Linked DNA regions of Drosophila melanogaster. The protein of the gene in region 1 interacts with the protein of each later gene in a pairwise test. Each region holds a gene or a part of one and is shown in the gene's direction. Other genes may lie near its edges.

What was found.
Region 2: the proteins of CG3517 (region 1) and CG15784 interact in a two-hybrid assay, tested with the Drosophila melanogaster proteins (one large-scale study listed by BioGRID).
Region 3: the proteins of CG3517 (region 1) and CG34334 interact in a two-hybrid assay, tested with the Drosophila melanogaster proteins (one large-scale study listed by BioGRID).
Region 4: the proteins of CG3517 (region 1) and CG31122 interact in a two-hybrid assay, tested with the Drosophila melanogaster proteins (one large-scale study listed by BioGRID).

What each region holds. Positions count from the first base shown.
Region 1 is NT_033777.3:19,423,245-19,426,867, reverse strand, and holds CG3517 (uncharacterized protein), read left to right. Parts: upstream 1-1,668; 5' UTR 1,669-1,810; coding exon 1,811-2,959; 3' UTR 2,960-3,089; downstream 3,090-3,623.
Region 2 is NC_004354.4:5,427,917-5,433,070, forward strand, and holds CG15784 (uncharacterized protein), read left to right. Parts: upstream 1-1,654; 5' UTR 1,655-2,763; coding exon 2,764-4,428; 3' UTR 4,429-4,610; downstream 4,611-5,154. Other genes in the region: CG16756 (uncharacterized protein), read left to right, coding at 1-39, 105-250.
Region 3 is NC_004354.4:22,871,233-22,875,898, forward strand, and holds CG34334 (uncharacterized protein), read left to right. Parts: upstream 1-1,579; 5' UTR 1,580-1,783; coding exon 1,784-3,910; 3' UTR 3,911-4,135; downstream 4,136-4,666.
Region 4 is NT_033777.3:18,405,534-18,411,407, reverse strand, and holds CG31122 (uncharacterized protein), read left to right. Parts: upstream 1-1,547; 5' UTR 1,548-1,590; coding exon 1,591-1,910; intron 1,911-1,971; coding exon 1,972-2,076; intron 2,077-2,137; coding exon 2,138-2,789; intron 2,790-2,967; coding exon 2,968-3,133; intron 3,134-3,191; coding exon 3,192-3,526; coding exon of another isoform or gene 3,527-3,943; 3' UTR 3,944-5,344; downstream 5,345-5,874. Other genes in the region: CG10864 (uncharacterized protein), read left to right, coding at 38-1,207; CG7685 (uncharacterized protein), read right to left, coding at 5,601-5,874.

The sequences.
Region 1 (3,623 bases):
AAAATATATATTAATCATATGGCAACCGTTATGATATTTTGCCAAACTTATTTTTGTTCTGTAACAATTTAAGCAGAGTTCAAAGTTTATTACTTTTAAAATGGTTGGCATATATCTTCAACATTAAAATATATCTAATATCAATCGATTAAACGAAACCTTAAAAAATATTACATAATCGGTGTTTTGCATAAATCTCTACAGATACATTTCGTGCCATTTGCTGTACATAAAACAATTTCCAGAGGTATTTTATTTCTGCTCGGAAAAATGGTTTCGATTGTAACTTTATACGGCAGACAGGTACTCCTATTGCCGCCTGACCATCGCCACGTGTCCGTTCCATGCTGTCAACTTTTATTGTTAGAGAAACGAATATGAATTTCTTGTGGGTCGCTTTTCCATTTTCCAAGAAAAATTGCCGGCTAACGAAGTCCGGCCGATAAGGCCCCGGCAACAACAGTTGGCCATTTTGTCTGGCCAAGATTTATGCGCGATTGCTCAAGTTTTATGAGTTACGTAGTTGCATTTTAGCCTAAAGAAAAAAGAAACAAGAGCCCGAAGGTTGTGGATTGAAATCGCTCATCTTCAGGACCGCACCGCGCTGCTATTTCATTATGAGTTAAACAAAGTTGTAACGACTTTTCTCCCTTTTTTTTTTTTTTGTCTGCGACAGATTATGGGGCTTTTGTGCTCTGCGATTAAAGCCAGTTTTCTTACACTTATGGCCAAAAAGTTCCCTGATATGCAAGGGGTCAAGTTGGAAGGACATTGAGCAAATGAAGATTTACATTCGTCAGCGATTTTTTTCCGTTCGCCTTTTCCATTAGAATAAATGTTATTAGATGACTCTTCGGTTCCCGTGACATTTGTCAACAGGAAACGGATATGGCAAAGCTTGTCTAATAAATTCTTTGATGTATTTACGCTGACGTTTCCCTTGGGAACGAGCTCAGGATGTCGTACTTTATTTATGCCACTGCCAGACGCATTTCTCACTCCCCAATGAATCATAAACTGACTCAATGCCGTCATCAACAATTACGAATGTATCCCGCCCAAAAAAAAAAAAAGGACATCCATTACGAAGGCCGCAAAAAGAGAAATGAAATGTCGCGTCGCCTACTTGGCGGCTGCCTGAAAATTTCCACTGTTGGCTTAACAAATATTTGACCCATCGAAACTTATACGTGTGTCTACAAGGAATGGGCAAACAAACGAAAACACAACTCAAACAATCTATGCCGTATCAAATGCCGCTTAGCCCCCGACAACATGAAAAGCCAAGAAAGTAACCAAATTTGGAGAAAATCCTGAGGCTTTGCCTTGTTATCTGACACTTGTGTTTATTTTGGGAATAGAAACACAATTTGGCCAAGAAAAACTTGGTTTTATAAAATGTTGTATGTTTTCATACCTTTACAGTACGACAATCTTTCCAAACAAAAATAGTGAATATTTTATTCTCTGATAAACGGAAAAGCATTTGATTGTTAAGAGACTTACAAATGAAAATGTACTGCGGATGTAGTTTGATTTATTGCAACAATTGTATTTCGCACTTGTGGTTATTTTTAAAAAAAACGAAATATTCCATTCCCGTTTTAGTTTACCAAATGGGAAAAACTCGAAATCTAGCAGCAATTGATCATTTTAAATCCTGTCAGGCGAACATTCGCCCATAACATTCATTTGGCTTGTCTCGTTTTATCAACTAGTTAGAAAAAAACTTTTAGGTAAAAAATTCGAAAATTGTTCATGCTGCAAGGAGTAGCGAACAGCATCAAAATAGAGGTAAGACCGATTCGCGATGCAGGCCCATCATGCGATGCCCGATTTCCGATGCCGGAATAATTGCCAGCACAAGGAGTGCCAGAGGCATGCTCCTTTGGGCATAATCGATCAGCACACCCAGTGCAAGTGCTTGGGCGAGGTAAATGCCTCATCGATTTTCCTAGAAAATGTCCTGGACCTGGCCAACACTTTGGCCCAGGTGATGATCATCTGTGGACTGCACGAGTGCAAAGCGAAATCAACCGTGGACATTATCACATATGCCTTCTTGCATTACGATCAGGTGTGCTATTGCATTGATACCACGCCCAAGAAGCGACTGAGAAAGGAGGATTTGTTCCACGAGCTGGGCAAGAAGTCGCTGATGAACAAGGTGGAGGCCCACTTGGCCTATGCCATCATCAAGAGGGGATTCAAGGCCTTCTACTACGAGCCGAAAGTGGACTTGACCTACGATGAGCAAGGCAGACCCTCGTACAACGATGAATGCGTCTGGGTCCACGCAGCCAGGAAGTCAGCCGAGTCCTATGCCCGCTTCGATGGCCTCTCCTGCGCCGAACAGTTGGCATACGAGGCCAAGATCAAAATAGCCTTCAAGAAGTTCTACGATCGCATGCAGACGCGCAAGAGGCAGCCGGAGGGCGACGATTGCAACTGCTGCTTCTGTGCCAAGAAGCGGGGACATCTGGTCTATGCCAAGGAACCGACTCCCTGCACTTCCAACAAAAAGAAGCCCAAGCACGTGTGTCCATATTGCTGCAAGAAGAAGCAGAAGCAGCAGTACACACACCCTGCTCGCCAGCCGGCCAAGTGCCCCAAGTGCCACAAGTCGCGCAAGTTCTGCTGCTGCACCAAAATGGACTTCAACTTGCAGTGGGTCAAGAGCATATGGGAGCGGCCGGACTTCAATCAGTACTACAAGAACGAGATCGCCGAAATCGAGGACCGCCTGGTCAAGGGAACCTGCTGGCTGCCGCCGGAGCCTGAGGAGAAGCTGCTCGATGAGGGCGAGGGCGAGGAGGAGGAGGAAGCCCACCAGGAAATGTCGCCGGAGGCTCTCCTCGCCCTCGGCGGCAAAACGGTGCCCACTATACCGGATGAAGGAAACGGTTCTCCACTGGCCACCAAACAGCCGTCGATCACCGAGGGTGAGGGCGAGACCTAAGTTTGAAGGATCCTGCGAATCGGCGCTTGCTAGATTTCTAAATTTTACTTTACTCTTGAGGAAAGCAGTTCTCAAAATTTTCAGTTCCAGCTGTTCTTCAACAATTTATCATTAAAGTTGTACTCAAGCTAGTTTATGTACTTTTCTGTAAACAAGGTTTCTTTTATTTTCGTTCCACATAGCCATGGTATCATTAAAGGATTAAGAGCCTTTCAAAAGTAAATTTTTCGAAGAAGTATAGCTCTTAAACAAAATTACTGCCAGACCTAAGGTAGCTCAAATGTTTAATAAAAGGTTTAAAATCAGAAGTTCATTCAATTGAATCTGGTTAAATTCCACCAACTTCACTTTTAATTACCCAAAGTAATGGCTCGAAAATAAGGGGAAGTGAGGAGGTCATATCAACTGCCTTATATTAAGACGGAAAATTGAGTTTGCTCTTAGGGGACACACACACCTAGCTCGAACAAACACGGCCGCATCCATTTGGCCCACTCACACTCTTGGCCACTTGGAAAACTAAACCGGCTGCGAAGAGCTGTGACCTGTGTTGGTGTCTGTGTCTACTTTGGCCGAAAGTGGCATGCAACAGTAATGGAAAATACATTTAATCTGGCTTATGCAGCAGCTCGGCCCGACGATAACTCGGGCGCACTTCATCACA
Region 2 (5,154 bases), on another chromosome or scaffold:
AGGGAAGGCGTGGCGGCATTTGCAATGCCAAGTGCGAAGGTTTGTGAGGGCTGCTCTGGCAAATCGTATTCTATTCAAATTTAACTAAATATAAATATTTTTAGATTTTTTGGACGAAAATTTAAGGGAGTCGGTTACTTGCGCCAAGCGCATCCAAACCTCGGATGGTTTTCGTCATTGGGCAGGATGGCAACGATATTGCCGAAACGCCCAAAATCTGCCTAATCTTAAGGTTATCTGTGGGATCTAGATGTAATTAATTTAATGATTTCAATTTGTAACAAATAAATATTATATATGTATATGCCGTGAAATAATTTCAAAAGACTAAATAGTTTCAATACCTAAGAGAGCTCTGCTTCCAAAATTAAAATTATATTATTACATTTTGATAAATTCGCGTTTACGATACAGTCGATTGTTCCGAATCCAAATCGATTTCGGAATGTGTTGAGTTTCGGGTTCAACAAAGCTTACGATCAGTTTAATACTTTAACACTCTGGCAACCCTACTCGCTCTCTATTTCTCTCCGAGTTTCGTTCATTATCAAGTGAACGAAAGCTTTAAGCTTTCTCGCCAAAAACTTTGTGGAGCAATGGAGTGGCACTATCTCGCTTACGTGGGGCTTTCATTTGGCGACATCGGCCGAACAAATCGGAGCGTTTTTTCGCAACGTGTTCACAAGATATCAAAAGTCATTGAGAATTAATAAAATATGAAAAGTCAAGAAAAGAAAAGTATATCCCAGTGCCCAGTGCCAGAGATTCCGTTCTCTTATAAAAGAATCGCATTTCATGGATATATATACATATATCCTAAACAATCCCTATGGGATGATATTGTGCCCTATTGCGATCGCCTTACATAAGTTGCCCATACCCCAACCAATATACATAAGTATATACTATGTGACTCATATTTCCCTGCCCCCCAAACGGTTCTCCAGTTTCTGAGAAACTGGAAATGCTATAAACAAGATCCAAAGATCTGATGCCTCAGTCGTTGAGCTGCGTTGTGATAAAGTTGATGCAAAAATGAAAACTCAAGTGTATACTCATTTTTTGTTTTCGTGTTCAAGTCCCAAGAGGTCCCATGAAATTTACAAACATACATAGTTGCCGAACTATGTTTACTCCCATTTTATGAATAAGTGCTCCCCTGATATGGGTTTCTCAAGAAATCTCACCAAAACACCCTGCTGCCATATTAAAATTCTGTGAATGATAATGAAATTGAAGAATAAATAAATATATTTCGTATTGTTTTCAAACAAAAAGTTCCAAATATTGCCTATAATGTGAAGTCCCATTTTGCGTATGAGAAGTGTGATGTTTTGAATACCCCTTTTTAAATCTGTGATTTCTTACGTTTTTCCGTTTACCAAATATTTATGAAATTTTTAAAACATAAATAAAAAATCATATGCGTAATCAGTATTTTCTGATTTGTGGTGAAATTCGTAAAGAAGACCTTCAAAAATATATTGATGTGTTATTGGTGCAAATATAAATGTATATAATATATATAATTTATATATAATTTTGAAATTCTACTTATCAAAAGAATCGATGTTGTGGTGATGTGCTGATCTCTATGCAATAAATTAAATAGTTTTAAGTGTATTTTTTCAATATAAATATATAAAATAAAAAAACAGCCTGTGTTGAATTTTTGTTGCATTGGAATTTAAGTTCCAATATGAAAAATGTCATTTACAGATGGATTATCTACTTAGTGCATGAGTGATAACTAATCATGGAGCATTATGAGCATATCCATCTGAGAATGTAACGAATGATCCCTGATCCCTGATCCCCGATGCCTAAATGTCCTGCAAAGTGAGTTCGGTTCCTTTTTGGGCTGTGAACTTTGCCAGGAAGACCACCAATTCCATTTTCCAGACTGTTCTTTATCCATTTCGATATTTGCAGTGTCTGGCGAAATTCAGCATAGACTTAATTTCGTTAATTTGAATCATTTGTTTAGTTTTTTCTTGTGCTGCGTTTTGTGGAGCTATTTCATCACATGACGAAACTCTTGCAAAAAATTCCCCACTGCCAAAGCTTTTTTTGAAGCGTTATTCCGGTTTTATTTAGCTTTGTTTTGTTTTGTTTTGATAATCGGAGAACGACGCAAAATCCACGTACTCGATAGCAAATTGTGAAAACAAACGCGCGCGTTGGTATTGGTGAGAGAGCAGCGAGCTACAGACGAGCCTCCCTAACGTGGACCTAGATCAACCGCACTCACGTTAGTCTCAATCAATGTGTTGCAAATAATATTATTTTTTTTTTGTTATTTAGCGCCAGTTTTTAGAATATGTTAGATGCACATTTAGATTGCAGATTTTGTTTATTTAGATACGTTTTATATTTCATGGATTGAATTTTAAGGCCAAGATTCACACACCTATAAATTTGCGAAGGGCTTTTTCTGTTGTCTATTGAAATGTTTAATTTGTATTGAGGTTCCACTGTTCCCCGTTTTTGTTCTGCGACGCATTTCAGTGCTCCACCAGTGGGGCGTTCTCACCGCTTCCTTGCCCCTTTGCCCCTTTGCCGCCTTGCCGCTCCGCTGGCGCCGCCAACCGCCGACGCCGCTGAGCGTATAAAAAGTGCCGGCCGGCAAGCGAATGGCATCAGTTTGCAAGCTTTCAGCTTTGTGGCATAGCGTATCCCAGCGAACTCTAAACCGTTAAACCAAGCAAAAAAGCAACTAGTATTACACCAGTGAAGGTAAATCGCATTGAAGATACTATCAACATGAGCGAGTTGTCCAGACTGCAGCAGCAGCAGCAGCAGGATCAGGATCGGGAGCGTGTTTCCCAAGAGCTGATCGACTGCGATATTGACTTTGTGGAGGATACGACCTCCAAGGTGGAGGAGGAGGCCAGGATGCCACCAGCCAGTTCCAAGCGATACACCAAAGCCCTGAAGAAGGTGACCAAGGTGCAGCGCATGCTGGAGCAGGCCATGATCCTGCTGGCCGAGGAGGAGGCCAGGTGTCGGCAGCAGGAGCAGGAACAGGGCACCAAAAGGACCAAGAAGCAGCTGAAGAAGAAGGCCAAGAAGGACAAGAAGAAGGCCAAGAAGCTGGCCAAGCAACAGGCCAAAAAACAGGCGGAAGAGCAGACGGCGGCTGGCGAGGAGCCCTCCAACACCTCCAGCTCCAGCTCTTCCAGCTCCAGCTCATCCAGTTCCAGCTCCTCCAGTTCGAGCTCCAGCTCCGAGGACGAAGAGGTATTCTATAACGGTTACGGCTGGATCAGCAATCCATGGCGCCGAGGACCACATGGCCATCACGGCTTCGGTCGTCGTCTTGGCCACGGTTTTGGCCACAAGCATGGTCGCAAGCATGGCCACAAACATGGTCACGGGCCGCATCATCATGGCCGACATGGACATCATGGACGGCCGCACCACCACCATCCGCATGGTCACCACTTTGGTCCCCATTTTGGACCACACTTTGGACCTCACGCTGGGCCCTCTCCCTTTGACTTCGATCGGAGATCCTTTCGCGGACCTTGGCATGATCAGTCCCAGTTTTTTCAATGGATGGGCCTGCCGTGGGCCCTGGACAATGCCGCGGCCAATCGGAGGAGCCACTCGCTGCCTAGACTATCTAGGCGCGACTGTCGTGGAGATCTCGGATTCGGATTCGGACCAGGATACGGATACGGATATGGCCAAACGCGTCCACGACATGGCCGTCGACTAGAGAGATCACTTTCCCGTTCAACATCCGGTTCGCTGGAGAGGAAGCACTGCCGCAAGCCGAGGTCCAGTTCCAGTTCCAGCTCCAGTTCTTCCTCGGAGGATGAGAAGAAGAGGCAGAAGTGCAAGGGCAAGGGAAAGGGCAAGGAGAAGAAAAGACAGCAGCGCTCCTCATCCAGCTCCTCATCGAGCTCCAGCTCCAGCTCCAGCTCCAGCTCCAGCTCCAGCTCCAGCTCCGATGGCGAAGTGCAGAAGATTCCCCATCGACGCGGGCACCACTTCGGACCTCCACATGGCCACCACCACTTTGGTCCGCGCCATGAAGGTTACCGTCCCCATCACGGCGGACACCATGGCCATCACTTTGGTCCACATCATGGTCCATTTGTCGAACATGGACATGGCCCCCAATTCGGACCATTCTTTGACGTTCCCCAAAGAGAATCCGGTGAAGGACCGCGTTTTGAGCACCAGCCCCGTCCGGAGTTTCCTATTGCCCATCATCGACCACCACCAGCTGAGTTCCCTCCAGGTCGTCGCAGTCGTTCTCTGTCCCGATCCCACTGCCGCAAGGAAAAGCAGGAGAGTTTCCCCAAAGTCGAGAGGGAGGAGCGCAAGAAGGGCAAAAAGAAGCACGGAAAACGCGCTCATGGACATGGGCATGGACATGGACATGGACATGGCCATGGACATGGACATGGACGTGATTAGGCAATCGCAGCCAGCGTTTAAGATGCATTAAGATTCCTTCAATACAACCTCCCACACATATAACCTTCAATATTACTATACATTTAACACCCAGAAGCTTCTATTCTATTATTCTATAAAAAATCATTAAAAAAACATCTAAAAAAATGAAATTAAATAAAAAAAAAACAAAACTCAAATCTATATACTTCGTATTTTTTATGGAAACTTAATTTATTTATTTTCTTCTCCACGGTACAAGTGCATTCGTTAAGCTCAACTATATAATACCCATTACTTTCTGAGTGCGATTGCAAATGACTCAATTGCATTATTAATGCAGCTGGCGGAAATGAATTAAAACTACACTTTAAACTAGATACATTACGAGTGAGTAATTACTCTATTTGTGTTGCTTAAGTTGGGGAAATGCGAATGGGGGGCTTATGGACATTACGCACCGCGATAAGATTGGTGTATTCCTGCAGAGGTTTTTCCCCAACCAAATGACAATGCAATGGCAGCGATAACAAGCTTGATAGGCTTATCAAATTATAGGTTTTTCACCTGGTTAAATATTATTGTTTTGACACTGCAAAACTCGCAAATTAACCCATTTTAGATTAATTGGTTGGGTTTATATTGTAACAACCTGTGGATGAATCGCGGACGCAGAATGTTGACTGCATTCTCTCCTTCAAGTGGGTACAGTTTGTGGTCGCAACTGTTCTCAGCTGCGGAGGGGAA
Region 3 (4,666 bases), on another chromosome or scaffold:
CGAGTCTGAATTGTCGTCGGTGGGCCAGTGGGCCAGATGATTTTTCTAGTGGGACAAAAGTCACATTTTTAAATATTTAAATACAGTTTTTTCTTTTTTAACTGACTCTAACTGACTATCCGTCTGAGCCTATAAGAGTTAGCATAAGAGTTTTTGCTTGTTTAAACATATGTTTCAGCGCGTGGTCATTAAATATTTGGCGTAACGTTTCGTATTTGTTTATTGACCTTTAATTTAAACAAAGTAAAACAAATTCAATTAACAACTTATGTTAACTTTAGGAAATAAATGTTCGAAATAAAAATAATGTGTTTGTGACCCGCATTTTTATGTTTAGTAAAAACAAGTGTTCGAAGTTTTTATTTTACCAGGTATGGCATTACGCTTGAATTTAGCATATTTGGACTATAACTAACCTTGTTCACTCTTGTTCGAGCTGATTTAAGCATTTATGTAACGTGTGAGCCTTTGTGTCGTTGATTTTTTCAGAATTATATCCAACTTTGACCAACTGTAAAGTCTGTCAGCCCCAAAGCGTGTGCTTCATTCCAATTGGCTTAGCGAAACTGATCCCGCATACCAAAAGTAATTGGTATTTGGTACACTTTTAAAGAATCGTCAGCTTTCTGAAATATAATCTGAAAGAAAATCAACTAATTTTGACCATTTCAAAGCAGTCGACGATCTAGGGTGATCGCTGCCTAATGAGTGATTGAAGAAAAAAATAAAGAATGTAAGAGTTAATCAGTAATTATATGTATGTGTAATAAAACAAGAAAGCATACCGGAATGCTTCACCTTTGGGGAGATGGGGCTGTCCTAGTCGTTTGAAGCGACACCGACGTGTTGATAATGAGTGATGTCCGCAATAATCCTTCGTGCAACCTAGGTCGGTTGGGTGCCAGTACTTTAAGATTTTGTCGTTTATGTAAATTGAATTCGTTTTTTTTCTTCTACTTTTTTTTGCTTGTCTGCTTTTTAGAGATCATAGATATGTAGGGTCGATAGTCGATGTCGATAGTTATCGATGCCTATGTTGCAAGCTGTGTGGCACTCCGCCCTGAGAAAAGCCTGAGCTAGGGGCACTGCCACTAAAAAAAAGAAGGCAGTTCGTAACATACATATATAGGTTAAGTTAATCTGCGAATCTGCACACTTTCTTACAACTAACTTCCTATCTTTTATACTTCCTGTGAGCCCGACGTTTATACGGACAGACAGACGGACATTGTTCATTTGATCAAAATTTGATATGTCATATTAATTGCTAGTTATAATAAAGAGATCATAGTTTCGGTGCTTTTAATTATAAAGTGTTTTTACTTGGTATACAACAAATTTGTATTTAAATGTATAGTAACTGGAAGGGTATATAAACTTTGTATTACCGATGCTACCTTCCTTTTCTTGTCTGTGTATATTTAAATTATGTTGACAGGTGATAGGAATGCCTTCCCTGAATGACGATAGTTACAGCCCTGATTTCGAAGTGTTGGACAACGATTATATCCTTAATGTGGTCTGGTCTAGTGTTAAATTGCTTGAGAATTCGTTACTGCGGTGACCTAAGGTGGCAACCACAAAGCAAAAAAGTTGTTATCTATCATTGAGTGGCCTTTGCTTGGTCAGCTTTTATTTTTATGACAGTTGTCAGACCAAGTTTTTACACGCCATTACATTTTCATAAGGCAGCCGTTCCCAACGTGTGAGTAACGGAGCATCAAATCAAAATAGTTTCGAAGGCCGTCATATTTGTTCGCAGTGAAAGTGAAATCTTGTGAAAATGACCAAGGTATCAGGGACGAAGGCAAAAGACGATGGCGAGCCAGCCACTAAGCGCGAACGCAAGGAGATGCATTCGCACAAGAAAGATCGCAGGGAGCGATTGGAACGCATGGAGCGCATGGACCGCAGGGACCGCAGAGACCGCAGAGAACGCAGGGACCGCAAGGACCGCAAGGACCGCAAGGACCGCAAAGAGCCAGCCAGAGGCCCCTCCTCCCGGATGAGGAACATCTCACCAATTCACTCGAATGCTTCGGAGAGCACTGAAGCAGACTGCAGCGACTCCAGCTACTCGGACTCGAGCTACAGCACCTCTGGATCGTCCAGCTGCACAAGCTTTTTGAGCTCCACCAGCAGCAGCTACTCGTCGAGCGACAGCGAGCCAGAGCCAGAAGGATCCGTCAAAAAGTTTGAGCGCACCAAGCACTCGTGTTGCCATTACCGACACCATCGTCGCCATAGGCGCCACCAAAACCCTCGTCATTCGCACCGTCGCCGGCACGTCACCCGTTGCCATCACTCGAATCACGGACGCTTTTCCAAGCGTTTGGCTAAAAAGAGTCGTCGTGGCATATCCGCCGCCAAGGGAGCTATCACGGTTAAGGAGGAGGTTGTCGAAAAAATTTCTCCTGCTTCAGCCCCTGGGGTCATTCAGATACCGGCACCCATTCCGCTGCCCGTGCCGGCACCCATTCCGGCTGTCCTGTCTGTTTCGGAGGCACAACCGCGTTCCCACTCCCGTTCGCAATCGCACTCCCATCTCCATAGCCATTCCAGCTCCCATAACAATCCCCACCCGCAACCCGTTCCGGCCCCTGTTCCGGTACCAATTCCTGCTCCGATCGCCATGCCAACTCCTATGAGGGAGCCAAGCAGCGTGGTATTGGACCGCAAGTCTCGTAGACGCAGCTCCACCTCGCAGAACATCGCCTCGGCCGCCAGCAGTTCTATCGGCACCAACCAAGCCATCATCCAGTCTAGCACTATAACCATTACAAAGACGATTGCCAACGCCACTGGTATGGCCGAAACCAATTCAAGTGGCGGCGCTAGCATCTCCAGCACAAAAAATAAGGGGGACAGCAGTACCGGCCAATCTTCAAAGACGGTTGTCACCAATAACGCGGGCAGCAAGGCGGGTTACCAAGCCCCCAAGACTTCAGTGGCAAGCACATCTTCGAAAGCGGTGGTCAGGTCTAACGCAAGCGCCAGTTCAGGCCACGGGAACCACACCAGTTCCAGCTCGAGTTTCACCCAGCTGCACTCCAGTGCCAGGCCCTCGACAGCCAAAGATCACGACAAGAGTCCTCAGCAGAACCGCTCAGGCAGCTCAGGCCCCAAGGGCAAGTCGTCGAAGATCAACGATCCTCCACGTCGTGGCTCTTCACCGTCTGCTGGTGCAGAACCTACTCGCCAAAAACAAAGCGTTCAAAATCAAAATGGGCGGAATTGCAGCAGCCAGTGGAACCATCGGCGCGGTGAAGGGGATGGAGAAGGAGCAGAAGCAAGTGGACGGGGCTACAGAGCCGTGGGTGAGGTAAACAAAGTGGCCTACAGAAACGGAAAGGACGCCTTCAAATTTCGCCAACCCGTGCGCAATGTTCGCCTGCACATTAAGGGATTGACGCGTCAGGTGACCAAGGAGCACATAACCGAGATATTTGGTCACTTCGGCGCCCTGACGGCAGTCGACTTTCCAATGGACCGTTTCCAAGGGCGCCAGGGACGCGGATACGCCTTTGTGGAGTACTCACGTCCAGAGGACTGCGCCAGTGCCATCAAGCATATGAACGGCGGGCAGATCGATGGGAAGCTGATCAGGGTGTCCGCCTTTCAGGAAAGCATGCTAAAGGCGCCGTGGCGTCAATACCGACGTTACTCGCCAGTCAACCGGCGCCAGAGCCAGCGTACGTTGTCCCGCTCGGGCTCGTCGTCACGCTCTCGATCGCCGTCCCGCTCTGCGTCCGGCTCGGAATACGGGTCGCGGTCCTCCCACTCTCGCGTCCGCTCTATGTCGGGATCGCGCTATTCTCGGCGCAACCGTTCGCAATCGTGCTCCTACACTCGCTCATCGCCGCGCTACGGGCATTACCATCGCCCTAGACGCGATTCGCGTTCGCCCTAGATAGGCGGACCTGTCTAATGTTGCAAAAGGAAGGCGAGATTAAGCCAGACAGGATTTTCAGGACTCTGCCAGATGCCTATTTTATTCCATTCCAACTTCAAATACAAATGTAGACTTGATGGACATCGTGCGTTTTAAAAGTTACTTATTAATACCAGTCTAATTTAAAAACATTGTTGGGCTTAAAATAAATAAAAATAAAAATCCATGCTCCGCACAAAAAAGAATTGTGAGGTATATCAGAAAATAATCATCGTATGTAAGGTGGTTATCTGTTAGTAATAATATAAAAGCCCACTGCAATCAATCGATTACCAAAAGACAGGTAAATGGTATTTCGTAGAGAACGCTTAGAAAAAAAGTACCGCTATTCGATGTAAAATCAAGAACAAACCATATCGAAAGTACGGTAAGCCCAAAACTTGTATAAGGGTATAATATATATAATAGGGTATAATAGATTCGTTGAAAAGTATGTAACAGACATAAGGAAGCGTTTCCGACTATATTAAGTATATATATTCTTGATCAGGATCAATAGCCGAGTCGAGACAAGTCGTCTGTCCGTCTGTCCGTATGAACGTCGAGATCTCAGAAACTATAAAAGCTAAAAGGTTGAGATTCAGAATACAGATTGTAGAGACAAATGCGCAGTGAAAGCTTGCTGACCCGTGTTGCCACGCCCAATCGCCAACAAACCGCCCACACACTTTTTTTTGGTTTGTTCATAATTTTATTAGTCTTGTAAATTTCAAT
Region 4 (5,874 bases), 1.0 Mb from region 1:
TCTGTGGAATCGGTTATATAATCCATGTGCGACTAAAATGGCCAGCAAATTTCAGAGGAAACCATCTCCCGGCGGAACTGTAGGCATGGGAGGGGGGCCATCGAGTGTTTCCTCTACGCCGAGCAACCAGCCGAGGAAAAGGGTGAAACGCTGCTGCCGCAACTTCGTCACCTTTATGTGCACCCAGGTGGGCGTGGGCGCTCTGATCGTGATCTATGCCATCTGTGGAGCATTCGCCTTCATGCACATCGAGCGCCAGTTTGTGGACGAGACGGCTGGCCATGTGATGGAGCTGCGTCAGAACTGCTCCCAGCAGCTGTGGAGCATCACGGAGCAGCACAACATAATCGATCGTCGACGCTGGACGGAGGCCACGAACGATGTACTGAGGGAGTACCAGTCGCAAATAGCCGGAGTTGTCAAACACGGCTATGTGGGCAGAAGTCCAGAGCAGATCTGGAGCTTTCCGGCTGCCCTAATGTTCTGCCTGTCGGTGATAACCATGATTGGCTACGGCAACATGGTGCCACGAACTCCGTGGGGCAAGGGATTCACCGTGATCTATGCCACCTTTGGCATACCGCTCTACATCCTGTACTTCCTCAACATGGGCAGAGTGCTGGCCAGATCGTTTAAGTTCCTCTACCGATCACTGCACGACTGCACCCAGGAGCACCCGCGCCTGGATCGAATGGACGCCCTTGAGGGTGGTGTTGGCATGACACGCAAAAAGGTCATTGTGCCGTCGACCGCTTGCCTGTGGGTCATTTTCTTTTACGTTCTCACCGGCACCGTGATGTTTGCCAATTGGGAGAAGTGGAGCTTACTGAACAGCTTTTACTTCTGCATGACCTCGCTGTGCAAGATTGGATTTGGCGACTTTGTGCCCGGTGCCTCGCTGACTACCAGTGCGGATGTGAATGCAGCGACGCAAAAGTTGCAGGAGGACATTTCAGCCGATCCTGCCGAGCTGGCCCAGCTACAGTCCGTGGCCGCCGATCAGCACTCCAAATTGGCCATCAATTTTGTCTACATGCTGCTGGGCATGGGTCTGGTGGCCATGTGTCGCAACCTGATGCGCGAAGAGGTGCGCCTAAAGGCACGCGAGATGCGCGAGGACGCCAAACTTTGCATGGAGGACACCAGGCTGCGATTCGTTGGCTGTTGCGGGAATCCTAGGGACGCGTACGAGGATGATTACTACTAGGATAAGAAGAGGTTGTTAGGAGGGGTTTCAAACAAGGACGTCCCTTATTTAGATTTATATTTCATCACTAATCCGAAATGGTTCTATTCTGATGGAACTAAAGAAAAAGCAAGTGTATTATAAGAAGATCGTATTTAGCTTTAGGGTTATAGTTCTGTAACAGAAGTGGTCTATATCATCAGTTATTCTATTCAGAACTTTCGAAAGTATATTGATTTGTGAAAGTTTTCAAAAAAGAGCGTTTGTGTGTGAAGCTGTGAAAATGATGCTGTGATTGGTTAATGCCCACCAAGTAAAGTAATCCCCCATGAACCGATTCGATCCCGCAGCTCACCATTGATCAATTCCTGCAACTGCAAGAGCGGATCCGTAACTTCGAGGGCATGCTTGGCGGCGGCAGCGGGGAGCGTCTGTGCACGCCAAGCACTTCGGCCGGCCCATTCCGCATCTTTTCCGTGGCCGGATTCCAGAACCGGGCCAATGACATCGTCTACTGCCCGCCGATCGTGCGCCAGCACTCGGTGCACGTGCCGGAGGACTCCACGGCCATAATCTATTTTGGTGGGGACGTGCAGGACTTCCCGGAGAGCATGGAGACGAACCGTGACAGTCGGGGCTACATGAAGTACAACCTCGAAAACTCGGCCATCCTTCTGCGCGAGGCCTTTCCCCGGTCACACATCATCGTCATCCGGCCCGTGCGGTTAGTTTTTGCATATTTTAATAATAATTTATAAATAATATAAACGCATTTTCATTTGCAGCATGGAGTTCAAGACATTCAGTTGCTTTGACAATTTTGTTCGGGGCAACAACGCTGGAGTTCCGGATCACACGCCCATGAACCATGCCCTCCAGCATCTAGAAAAGTAAGTTCATAGTGTACAATTCAAGAATGCTCTTATTAATAACAATTGTTTATCCCCACAGACTGCTTCAGAATCTATCGCAGCGCCTGATCTCCATACCAGAGAACGAAATTCTGGATCAGGCCGCCCAGGCAGCGGCTGCTGCGGCGGCAGTGGCTGCTGCTGCTGCGGCCGCAGCTTTAACGCTATCCAACGCCACGGTCACCTCGGAGTCCAACTCACAATCGGCACCGGCCAACGACAGCAGCCAGGAGATGGACATTGATATATTGCAGGTGCAGGAGAATATCACAGTGGACGCGGATGGGGCAGTAATATTTCCGATAGTTGGCAACGAAGTGCCAGAGGCAGTGAACAATGTATCCGGGAATAATGGCAACATCGGTGGTGGCGGTAACGATGATAGTGTAAACAACCACCAAGAGCAAGTGAACAACCAGCAGCTCCAGCAGCAGCAGCAAACGGCGGCAGCCATCAAGATGACTTCTCCCACAACGGCGATAAATGCCACCAACAATGTGGAGCACTACAACAACGATTGTGGTACGAGGCAGGCTTCCGCTGCCTCTGCAACAACAGCCTCGGCAACGGGCACCTCCACATCAACGGCAAGCAGCGATAGCAATCCGCTGTGGTGGCGGGAGAACCTCAATCTGGACAAATCCAAGCTGGTGCTGATTGGCTTTAGCAAGGGCTGCGTCGTGCTCAATCAAGTGAGTCGCGTTTGGTTCGTTACCTAGTTGATCCACTCGCCAATACGCCAGCTTCAATCCTATGCAGAAGTGTCGATGGAGCGTGTAGAGTATAAATCTAAACGCTGAATCGGTATCTGAGGATTGTGGCCCATACCCAACTGACCATACTTATCTGCACTTTCTTTTTTGTTTATAGTTCATCTACGAGTTCCACTATCTTAAGACGCTCACGCCCGACGACAGCAGCATGTGCCGCCTTCTCTCCCGGATTTCAGACATGTACTGGCTGGATGGCGGCCATGGGGGCCAAAAGAACACTTGGATCACGTCCCGTAGCTTGCTGGAAACACTAACGCGGATGGGTAAGTGGAGAGAGAGTAAATGCCAAGTTGAGTCAACTAACGAGTGGGAGTCTTTAAGCAGGCATGAACATCCATGTCCACCTGACGCCCTACCAGGTGCAGGATGATCGCCGACCCTGGATTAGAAAGGAGGAGAAGTTGTTTACGGAGATGCTACGTAGGCTGAATGCGCCGATCACCCGGCACTTGCACTACGACAACCAGCCAGCGAATCTGATGACCCACTTCGAGGTGCTGCAGGCATTTTGCCAGCACGTCCACGCGCTCAACCAGCAGCAACAGCAAATGCAGCAGCAGCAGGGTGTCGGCATCAGTGAGCAGTCTTCGGCGGCGGTGGCCGCCACCAACAATGGGAGCAACAATCTATTGGAAGCCGGCGAGGAGGCAAAGTGACAGCTGCAACTGCATCCGCATCACCACAGGCGTCGCTTGCATGCGATGCGCAAGGGTACCGCCGCCCTCAAGCGTCAGCAGGTGGCGCAGCTGCGCCAGCACCACCAGCAGCTGCTGGCTGCCGCCCCGGAGCTCGCGCTGGCCTCCTCATCGCGCCTGGCTGCGGCCCTGATCTCGTCGGCGGTGGCTCTGAGCGCCTCGTCCGCGAGCCTTGTAAATAGTCATCACCACAGCCATATGCAACAACAGCAGACGCAGCAGCCGCCACAGGCGCGCCATCATCACCATCCGGCAACATCACACAGGCATCACCACCACCAACACCACTCACATCACCACTCGCACCACCATCATCATCATCATCAGTGTCGCTCGAAACGCAAACTGCAGAAATTGTATTATACGCTTTGCCGTTAGATCTGTAGCCTAACTATATCTATGTGTACTTGTACGAGAGAAAGTTTCTTAGAACCACCAGCAGCATCAGCACTTAGCTTAAGTGGAGTCACACCTACCACGTCCTATATATATTATATGTATGTCCAGTCCCTTCGTCCCTTCATTTTTTGTACATGTATTTATTTATTCCCCTTTTTGTTCGTATTTTGTATCTTTGATCATCGCATTTTTGTAATTCGTCCCAAACTGAAAGCAAAATCTCATCAGTGCAATAATATACATAATCCGAATATATATATATCTATATATTTATATATATGCGTATTTATATATATGCTGATTTTACAGACCTCTCTTATTTTATACAAACACTCCATGCTATTTATTTGTAATTGATGAAAAGATTTGTGATTTGCGCACATGATATAAAGTAAACATCGTAGAGCAAGCACTGTAATCGTAGCGTGTCTCAAGCAATTTATGTTTTAAGTACCCCAATGAATTTATACATCATCCGCACAGACGCATTAATCTAACCAGCCTAAAATCTAAATCACACACACCCACAAAGCCCTCTGATTAAGTATTACTTAGCGTACGTAAGCTAACTTTAAGTTGCAACTGGCAAAAAGCAAGCCACAACAACAAATGTACTTTACTTAGGTTGATCCCCAGTTTCCATCGCAAACTGGGGGCAAAGTATCAAATTTGTGAGACGAGAGCGTCGATAGCAATATAGCAATCAGCTCGTCCAGGCATAGACGACGTAGTTTTCTCTGATTGTGCTGGGCAAGTCAAAGAAGAAGTACTCAATGCAAATGCAAGTGAATAAAGTGAATTTTGCCAATTCAGATCCGAGAAGTAATTGTAAATGCGATGGCGCGCGTTCCTTAAACTAATTATGTATATCGATGTGGAGATCATTACCGCTTCCGCTTATCATCCAAAACAAGACAAGAAAGCCAGCCAAGAAAGCAAACCAAGAGAAAATCCAGTGAGACGTACTGTGCATATAAGGGAAAAATTAATTACACACAAAATTTCGTACCTTGTAGAATTTGCAGTTCAAAATTGCTTTAGAGTTTGTCGATGTACATTTTACGGATTAAACTGCACAAAACATTTTTAGGCAAGAAGAACCATATTAACTAAAATTACAGACGGTCGTAGATGTAAATTGAACATTATAAATGAAAACGCTGCGAATTCGAAACCAAAAATCGCGCAGAGAAAGTCGAGCAAAAAAAAGAAAACAAAACAAAAAAGGAATTCCCAATGTAAATTCTACTGATTTTTGTGAGTCTGGTAATAAAATGAATAAGCATATATGGATAAAATGGCAGCTTCTTTTTTTCACATGTCCACAAAGATCTAATCTTGCAGCTGCTCCTCTGGCACCAAATTAAACATAGTTTTAAACAAATTGTACACATTAAATCCATCAGATTCTTTGAATGTGAAAACTGGAACAGGCCACATTGTGTTTCTTGGAATTCGTTTCTTTTATTCAATCTACTTATTTTAAAATAAATTACAATTCTATTGTACTCGTACAAAAAATATCGCTTGTGATGCGCCGCCCGACATCTTCATCCTTGAGATTGGTGTCCTAGGTGCACAGGTGGAGGAGATGGAAGAGGAATGGGAGTGGGAACGGGGTCCCGTCGGCCTGCGACTACGCACAGTCGTTGGGACACTTGGTCGCCGTGCTCCACTCATCGCTGCCGTCGCAGCAGTCGCACACGTGGTCATTAATGCGGCTGCTGGCCACGTAGATATCCAGGCCCCGGCCCGTGATGTGACGCTTCTGGTAGCGACAGTAGAATCGCCCCTTGGCGCAGGCATTCGTGCTGGGCTCGTCGCTGCCGTCCTCCTCACAGTCGCAGTAGTTGTCGTTCAGGTGGTCGAACGGGATCTCTTTGGAGCCGTCCAGACACCGGAACTTGCCC